Mus musculus: one gene and its partner. The protein of the gene in region 2 interacts with the protein of the main gene of each other region in a pairwise test. Links are inferred from orthologs where the notes say so. Each region holds a gene or a part of one and is shown on either strand. Other genes may lie near its edges.

Evidence for each region.
Region 1: the proteins of Apip (region 2) and Pdzd4 interact in a two-hybrid assay, tested with the Homo sapiens proteins (2 studies listed by BioGRID and IntAct). The two-hybrid records come from large-scale screens. The link is inferred for Mus musculus from reciprocal best matches to the Homo sapiens genes APIP and PDZD4.

What each region holds. Positions count from the first base shown.
Region 1 is NC_000086.7:73,822,115-73,826,672, forward strand, and holds the start of Pdzd4 (PDZ domain-containing protein 4), read right to left. Parts: upstream 2,856-4,558; 5' UTR 2,228-2,855; coding exon 2,168-2,227; intron 1-2,167.
Region 2 is NC_000068.7:103,072,310-103,076,642, reverse strand, and holds the start of Apip (methylthioribulose-1-phosphate dehydratase), read right to left. Parts: upstream 2,969-4,333; 5' UTR 2,856-2,968; coding exon 2,802-2,855; intron 1-2,801. Other genes in the region: Pdhx (pyruvate dehydrogenase protein X component, mitochondrial), read left to right, coding at 3,194-3,353. UniProt on the Homo sapiens protein: Catalyzes the dehydration of methylthioribulose-1-phosphate (MTRu-1-P) into 2,3-diketo-5-methylthiopentyl-1-phosphate (DK-MTP-1-P).

The DNA of each region.
Region 1 (4,558 bases), on a different chromosome or scaffold from region 2:
AATTCTGAAAACTACCTGGGTTTTAAAGCAAAAATTGCCTTCTGCTCTGAAGGAAACTCTCCTTGAGGCCTATATGAGTATTCATCTCCCATAAGCTATTCATTCAGGCTACCTGATAGATCTCATTGTTTTCCATATATTGTTTCTATATTCATTCCTTTTGTTTTTACTTTATTTGAAAGGATAGTTCTTCCTTTAAAAAACATCTGGTCTCTAATTGGGTCAAGGAGAACCAGGAAAATGAAAGTTTGTGTCCAAACTTTAAAAAAGTAGCATCCCATGGGAGCTGAACACAGGGACTCTCTTACCTAGGGTCACCTCAGCCTTCCTGCCCATTGAAACCTCAATGGAGGCAGTCCTAGTTTTGAAATCCAATGGGTTCTGCTGAACCTATTTTGTTGGTACCCAGAGCTAGGTAATTTCAGATTGTTTGTTTGTTTTTGAGACAGGGTTTTTCTGTATAGCCCTGGCTGTCCTGGAACTCACACTGTAGGCCAGGCTGGCCTCGAACTCAGAAATCCACCTGCCTCTGCCTCCCGGATTAAGGGCGTGCAACACCACTGTCCGGCTCTTTTTTTGTTTTGTTTTGCTTTTTGTTTTTCGAGACAGGATTTTTCTGTAGTCCTAGCTGTCCTGTAACTCACTCTCTAGACCAGGCTGGCCTTGAACTCAGAAATCCTCTGGCTCCCAAATGCTGGGATTAAAGGCGTTTGCCACCACTGCCCGGCTTAATTTCAGAGTCTTATTCCAATAGGTGTGGCATTGAGCAGGTGAGAACTTCAAACAGTAGGAACAAGAGAGGAGAAACAACACTGATGTGGTCTGTTTGGCTTTGTGCAGACAACAGGAGACCACACATAGTCAAATAGAGAAGACCAGAAACGCCAGCAGGCTTGGACAAGACCACCCCCAACCTGGCCCTCCATGCCCACCCTCTCTTGCACATTACCTCTTATTCTTTCTAATAGAGAAGGTAAGATCACAGCAAAAATTTTGGGCTCCCGAGGCCACCTCAATACCACTACACTACTATGATTGACACAATCTCCCCTTCTACTCCCGCCACGTTCCTGAAGGTTTTTCCTCTATTCATCCAGGAACCTACAGGTTCTCCCCCAGCCAACACCTGCGCGCACTAATTCCCTGGTTCTGATCAACAAGTTCAATAGCTGGGGCACAAGTCACTAGACTCACCTGTCTGCTCCCACTTTGGCTCCTGGTCCCGACTCCCTCTTTTCTCTACACTCAGCCCTAGTATATTTCAGTGCACATCATCCTGGACACATTTCACTAAAGTACTCTCAGGGTGCACACACAGAAAGTATAGACGCGCGGGGCTGGCAAGCCTCGGCGCACACACAGACGGGGCACAGGCACGCACTCACGTAGTCACGCCACGCACAGGCAAGGAAACCCCACTCGTGGCTGAGAAGGTGGCTCAAGGTGCAAGCGGGCAGCAGGGTATCTCCTGCCGCCCCGCACGCGTCGCTCTCAACACCCTCCTTGTCCTCAAGGCCCAACAGGCCAAAGCGGATGCCAACAGGCAGAGCACGTGCTGGGCACCACCGATCGATCCCCGCGTCACCCACTCACCCAAAATGCCTGAGGCCCTGAAATCGACAGTCGTGACTTAGTCTAGAGAGTGGATGGGAAAATGGGTACTCAAACCCAGCTCCATTGACGACGTTTTAAATCTGGCCTGCCAGGCCCGGGATTCGGCCTCTGTCCCGCAGGCACTTCACTGCTTCTTTGGGTCAGGCTCCAACCCTGGGACCATGTGCCGGGAATCCAGACCGTTGCTATGCAACCTCCATCCCGCGCGGGCCACTGAGCGCCTCACTGTCCCGGGACAGAATCTTAACTTCCCACCTGGGCTGATCTGGACACATGGTTAGTGGTCGTTACGCACTCGGAGTGCCAGGTGATGTGCCTTGAACACCTACATATCTTCTTCACCCAGTTCCTTCCATCCCTGGATGGTTCCCACAGGGCGCCAGCACCCAGCAACCCATAATCTGAGGGCGAGATCAGCTCCCTACCTTTTTCTCTCGAGCCCTCTCGCCCTCCCACACCTGCCTTTCTTGACTCTACCTGGCCCTCCCCCTCGGGGTTTACAGTTTTCCTAGGTCCGGCTGCGACCCTCTCCCCAGCAGCCCAGGCGCCCTACCTGAAGCATCACTTTGTACTGCTCCTCCGGTTTCTGGACCACACACATATTACATCCCATGATGCTGGCCGGCGAGGGAAAGAGGAGAGCGGGAAGAGGAAGGTATCTTTCACTGGCCAGTGCGTGGGACCACGGGTCCCGGGCCTGGGCCCGGGGCCATACCTTACCCCGGGGGGCCGAGCCGCCTAGCGGGGGAGGGGGGCACGCCCCCAAGAGGAAGGCAGCTCCAAGCCTCTCGACTTAACTCTTTGCTGGCCGAGGCCAGACACAGGCATGCTCCTTCGCACCCAGCCAGGGGAAAAAAAGGGCGGCGGGGGATGGGCGGGCGCGCCGGGCGTTGCCTGGCTACGGCCCCCCCACCCCAGGAGGCGCGGGAGCGCGCCTGCCCGCCGGGGCCGTCAGGGGCTGTCAGGGGCCGTGGGCCACACGGCTCCCCGCCCGCGGGGCCGGCCGCTGCCGCTGCCTTTGCCGCTGTCGTCTCCAGCTCCCGCCCATGGCCATCAGCCCCGGGAGTCCAGCCTCTGGGCTTGGCGACGTGGCCCGGCCCGCCGACGGAGAGGCGGCCAGGCCCACGCCAGCTGTAGCCTCGCAGGGTCCCGCTTCTCTAGCTCACGGCGCTCTCTCAGAGCCTGGCCCACAGCCGGTCGCTTGTCTCCAGCTCCTGCCTGGAACACCGGAACGCGCGCGCGCGCGCCCGCAGCAACAGCGGGGGAGGTGTGCGGAGAAGGGGCGCACGCGCGTGGGAGAAGCAGAGGCTGGGTGCGGGCGGGAGCGGCAGGGGGCCTCAGGAGTCGGCGCAGGGAGCTGAGGGCGGGGCCTGAGTCCCTGAGACCAGATAATGCCAATGTCCGAGGGCGAGGTGTCTAGTGGACCTGTCTGCTAGGTGTGTCCCTGAGAAAAGAGGATCCTGTCTGAAGAAGAAGCTTCCCTGGACTCCTGAAGAGAGTTCAGGGCCTTGGTCTCAAGGAGAGGCTATTTCACCCCTTTCCCAGGTTCTAAATGTATCAGCCCCAATGTCTGTACTCCTTCCTCTGTCTCTCTTTAAAGACTGGTTCCCTGCTTTAACTGAGCCATTCCCTTGCTATCTCTGAAACGGATACCTTTGTTTAGAAGAAAAACGTGGGGGTGCTGTAGGTGGCAAGAGAACTACAGAGAAGCCTCATTCTTTGGGGCCTTTATGGGCACCCCCCTTGCTTGCACTGAAACCGCTGTCTGTTTCTCAGTTCCAGCCTTCCCTCCTCACACTTCTCCTTTAGCCTCTTCCCTCCCACAGGCTGCCCCTCTTCTTGATAAACCAGAGGAAAAGATGGCCTTTGGCTAGATAACAATGACCGATTGAAAGCTAGGTTCCCAGAGGCTGCCTGAGAGAGCTGCTTAGCCCTCTTACCTGCAGAAGATCCTTTGATAAAATTGTCTGGTCTTTATCTCCAGGCTCTGGCGAGTGAGGGGATTTATAACAGCATAGAAATGTTTAATTAACAGTATTGGGGGAGGCTGCTTCAATACTTTTCCTTTCCACCCCCACTTTGGTTCAAAAGACAGAAATAGGAATAACCTGAAATCCAGAAAGGAAGTATGAGTGCTTATAAACTGTCTTTCCCAGAAAGCAAAACTTGAGCCTTTCAGGAGATGACCAGTAGATCTTCCTGAGGAATACCCTTTTTGAGAGCTCAGTACAAATGTCTGTGGATGGGAGGCACTGTGTTTAGATCAGCCCCGGGGAGAGGAGATGGACCCTAGTCCTTCCACCATGGTTACTGCCACAACAGCCCCCTCTGCCCTGTAATTTGAGCTTCCTCATGCCTACAGCATAAGATCTAGATCACCTTACTTCAAGAGCAGTCTCTTAGAAATATCCTCTCCAAATCTTTTTACCTTCTAATTGTATGTATTTCACCAAGGTCCTGACCAGTCATCAAAAACATTTTCCCCCAGCCTAGCCCACAGAACTTAGCACAAGTCTTTCTTCCTTCCTTCCTTCCTTCCTTCCTTCCTTCCTTCCTTCCTTCCTTTCTTCCTTCCTTTCTTTCTTTCTTTCTTTCTTTCTTTCTTTCTTTCTTTCTTTCTTTTTTCAAGACAGGGTTTCTCTATGTAGCTATAACTGTCCTGAAACTTGCTCTGTAGATCAGTTTGGCCTCCAACTCAGAGATCCTCCTGCTCTGCCTCCCAAGTGCTGGAATTAAAGGTATGAGCTATTACTACCTACCTAGCAGGATTGGCCATTTCTTCCTCTACAAAAGGGTATGGCTTCCATGGAGGCTTTCCCTCCCAAATATCCCTCAGATCAGCAGCATGCTTTTCTTTATCCTGACATGAGCTAACTCATAAAGGAACTAGATTGCAATTGAGCCCCTGCCTGAGTTCATGTGTATGAGCTTAGGAGAAATGGCA
Region 2 (4,333 bases):
CCCCATCGTGTACAGGAGCTTCTACTTCCAAATGGTACGAAAACTGGGTGAAAAGCCTTTATCATATAGGACTTTGCGGATACTCATATCCAAATGATAGCCTATGCTATGAGGCAGACTTAGAAGACAAGAAGAGATGGAAGACATAGGAGAGCTACAGCCTAATAAATAGGTTCTCTTCTGCTAGGAAACAGAAACTGAGATCAGGAAAACAGAAAGGTAATAGCCTAAACAAGAGGAAGAACAAAGTATGTATGCATGTCTGAATGCCAGTAAGTATGATCTATCAACAACAGGAATTGCCAAGTGCTTGTTGTGGGTCAGGCACTACTGTTAAAGCTGTATGGACAACTTTACCTTATACCAGCCCTATCATACCAAAAGATTAACTTGTCTACCTGATAACTGACAGCAGGGCCAGGATTTGAACCCAGGCAATACGGCTATAAACCCCTACTCTTTTACTTTGAAATTATACTGTAGATGGAAAGAGTATTGAAGCTGCCTCTGCCTCCAGGTCCTAGTTGCTGGCAGATGCCCTGCAGTGACTGCTATAGTGAAATGACAAGCAGGCTGCTGTGATTCTATAGTCATAAAGGCACAAATGTTTTCCCTTTCCTCAGTCCAGGGACCCAGAGGCAAACTGACTACAAACACCTACGACTCATGAACTACATGGGCCTCCTATCTGTGTTTCTCAGAAACCTGCAAGAGGGGGAAGAATCCTGCTGTGTCTTCTGGAACTTACCTTTGTTCAAAATCCTTGCTGTGCTCTGTGTGTTGTTAATAACTTAATACTAATCTCTAACACATAGGGCAAACTGAGTCAGACCGAACCAAATCGAACTTTCGTCACTATAAATAGAACGCCATGATACATGAGGCAAAATTAAAAAAAATCAAAAGCCAGCAAACAAGCAAGCCTTCCCGGGTTTTCCCCCAAGGCATGGTTTTCTAAGGAACAAGAGACATGTTCTTGTAAGTTATACAATACCATATACCATATACCATATACCATATACCATATACCATAGCGCTCTGCTCAATAAACACTGGGTGCACTAAGACCGTATTTCTTACATTAAGAAAAGGCTAATATCAAACGGTTCAAACTGATATCTTGTGGACTGTGCTGGGTTGTTTTGTTCACTGTTGGGGAAGCCTTCCAATCAGGTAACACATAGTTAAGTCTTAAAGGATACATATACGTTAACAAAAAAAAAAAAAGTAGTAAGGGGTTCACGTTGGCTAGTTTTATGTCAACTGGGCACAAGCTGTGGTCATCTGAGAGGCAGAAACTTCGGTTGAAAAAAAATGCCTCCATGAGATGGGCTGAAGGCATGCCTATAGAGGAGTTTCACAGTGATTGATGAGGGAGGACTCTGCTCGTTGTAAGTGGTGCCACCCTGAACTGGTGGTCCTGAGTTCAGGCTGAGCAAGCCAGAGGGAGCAAGCCAGTAAGCAGCACCCCTCTATGCATCTGTATCAGTTCCTGCCTCCAGGTTCCTGCTCGCCTGTACTCCTGTCCGGACTTCCTTCTATGATGAGCAGTGAAGTAGAAGTAGAAGCAACATAAACCCTTTCCTCCCCAAGTTGCTTTCTTTGGTCATGGTGTTTCACCACAGCAATAGTGACCCCCCACCCCCCAACACAGACCAAAGTCGTTTATTTGATCTGCACAACACTTAGAACTCAAGCCAACATTTTTGAATCAGGAAATTTCACACAGAATATGACTTTCTAAGTGTCCCTCAAAAAAGCAGAATTTGACACTGCGTCTATACCTCCAAACAGCAAGAAGAGGCTAGAGACATGTAATGAGATCTCTAGTTGAGGTATATGGTGGTCCTAGAGTTTTCTTTGTGGTTTCCTCAAAATATGGGCCAATCTAAAATGCTAGGTATTCAAAAGTCTTTGACAAATCACCATCTGAAACCACCCACTTCTCCTTCTATACTTGAAAAACATCTTCAGCTTCTTTTTTGTATGTGGCTATTTTCTGTCTTGATAAATTCAATCACAGCTCTTGAATCACAGGTTATTTTGCTGATCTGGCACAACACTTAGTATGAAAAAAAAATCTGTATTTCTATGATGACCGTCACCAAGATTTACTAATAAGGGATGACAAACATGTCTGCTATCAATGCACCTTGATTCTGATACATTGCTTCTACTTTCCTCGTTCTCCATATATAGGGATGGCCACCAGGGACCTGTGTCCTATATGCAAAATCTCCCTTTCAGTCGTGCCTAATTTCAAGGTTTATAAAGAATTTGTGAAAAGCCACTTATTCCAAGACAATAATAGTTCAGATGCTCTGCATTAAATATTTCCTGTTTTATTTTAAATTGAGACCCCTTGGCTAGACGAAAGGTTAGTAAAGATATAATTTTGTGGACTTCCCCTGAGTCTTCTGCAGGGCTTATCAGTTAGTATCGAAGCTGTTTATTCTTCTAGTTCGCTAGTTCACCATTTTCTTAGCACTAGAAGGCATTTCATAAGCCTGCGTCCTGTTTAACTGAAAGAAAACCCATGTTGCCCCAGGGCCCATTTTCCTTAAAGAAGAATCATTTCCAAGAGCTCCCACCTCATAACGTCAAGTAAGATAGGCAAGGACAACTGCCCAAAAGAGTGCCCTTTGGGGTGCCTGACAATTCCGGTAGAGCAGTCCTACTAGCACAGAGGGGCCTCTGACTTTCGCGGACTGGGTTAGGAATTAGCCGCCTAGAGCTCCTGGCCGAAGCCCCACCCCGCGGCCCGTGACCCCACCTCGCCTGCTGTAGACCGCCGTCCTTACCTGCGCGCCACACGGCCGCGAGCAACAGTCTCCTTGAGCTTGACAGCCAGACATGGTTCTGACTCTGCTCCGTTATCTGTCCCGCGCTCGTTCCAAGTCTGAGCGGCCGGCAGAACGCTATTAGGCGACAGAGCGGGCAGCCTGGGGGCGGAGCAAGAGTGAGAGGCGGAGTCTGAGGGGGACCTCGTCCCTTTGGAGAATCTGCGGCGGCGCAAACCGGCCGGTGGGCGTGCCCGTGAAGGTTGGAGGCGGTGTTAGAAGGACTAGTCCTCCAGTCCAAGGCGGGGAGCGTGCGCTGTGGGCGGGGCCAGCCCATGCAAGGCGGGGCCTGGACGGGCCTTGAGGCCGCCAATCTAGTTGACTTGCGAGCTTTCCCGGAGAAAGCCGGGAAGATGGCGGCCTCCTGGAGGCTTCACTGTAACCAGCCGCTGCTTCGGTACCTTCTGGGATTTAGCAGCCGTCGAAGCCTGGGACTGGCTCAGGGTGCTGCTGCTTGGCCTGTCGACCGTGGAGCAAGTTGGAGGTGGTTTCACAGTACTCAGCTGCTGCAGGGTGAGTGGCTTGCGCTCGCTCCACTTCTCTCTTTAGCTGAGCAATGGGGCCTGGGTCAGGGGCTTTCTTGATTGGGGACACGGTTTGTGAGGTTAAGTGCGGACTCTTCCTGTTCCTTTCAACCTCCCCCAGAAACGGGCCTGCTGACTTAGCCTATGGCATGCGGCAAAAGAACTGTCTTCAGACTTGGGAGAGCATGGTTCCGTCCTTGGCCTGCCTTCAGGGCTACATGGCTTCTCTGTGACCTTGCTTTAGAATTTGAGAAATTTCGATGTCACCTAGGGAGGGTCTGTTTTAAATCCCTCTATTTTAGACCCTTATCAATCACATGTCAAATTTCTTTAATTTTACCATTCCTCTCTAATGTAATATAGCTGCCCATACATTCAAAGCCACTATTACCCATACTGATTCATTCAAAGGACCTGTCCCTATTGGAAAACTTTAAATCTTACTGCACTTAATGTATGCAGCATACAAGACTTAACTTAGAAAATACAGAATCACAGACATTGCTAGAATGTTTCAAGTAAAATATGTGGCATGAAATTCATACAGCCTATTACATAAAATTGTTCTTAAGCAGTGATATTGAACTCGGAGATATACCCACTGTCCTTCCGTTATTTAACATACAGCATATAAAATGGCAGACCTGGCATTATTCTTCCTTACGTGTATGAATATGGGCTGGGGGTTAGGATGGGGGCACAGAAAACAGTTTTAGAAACCATTAGACATTTAAGTAATCATTCTTACCACCACCTGGTACAGTAGGCCTAGCCCACACTTTCTGAGCTGTCTGAGGCCACAAAACAAAACAAAAAAAAAGAAAAAGAAAAACAATAAAATCCGTGTGCTGAGATTTCTAAAGAGGGGCTAATAGGGACAATTTACCTAAGTCATTTTTGGAGTAATGTTTAATAAATACTTCCTGGATATTGTCTTTAACTGTATAGTATATAATATTTTCTCTGCCT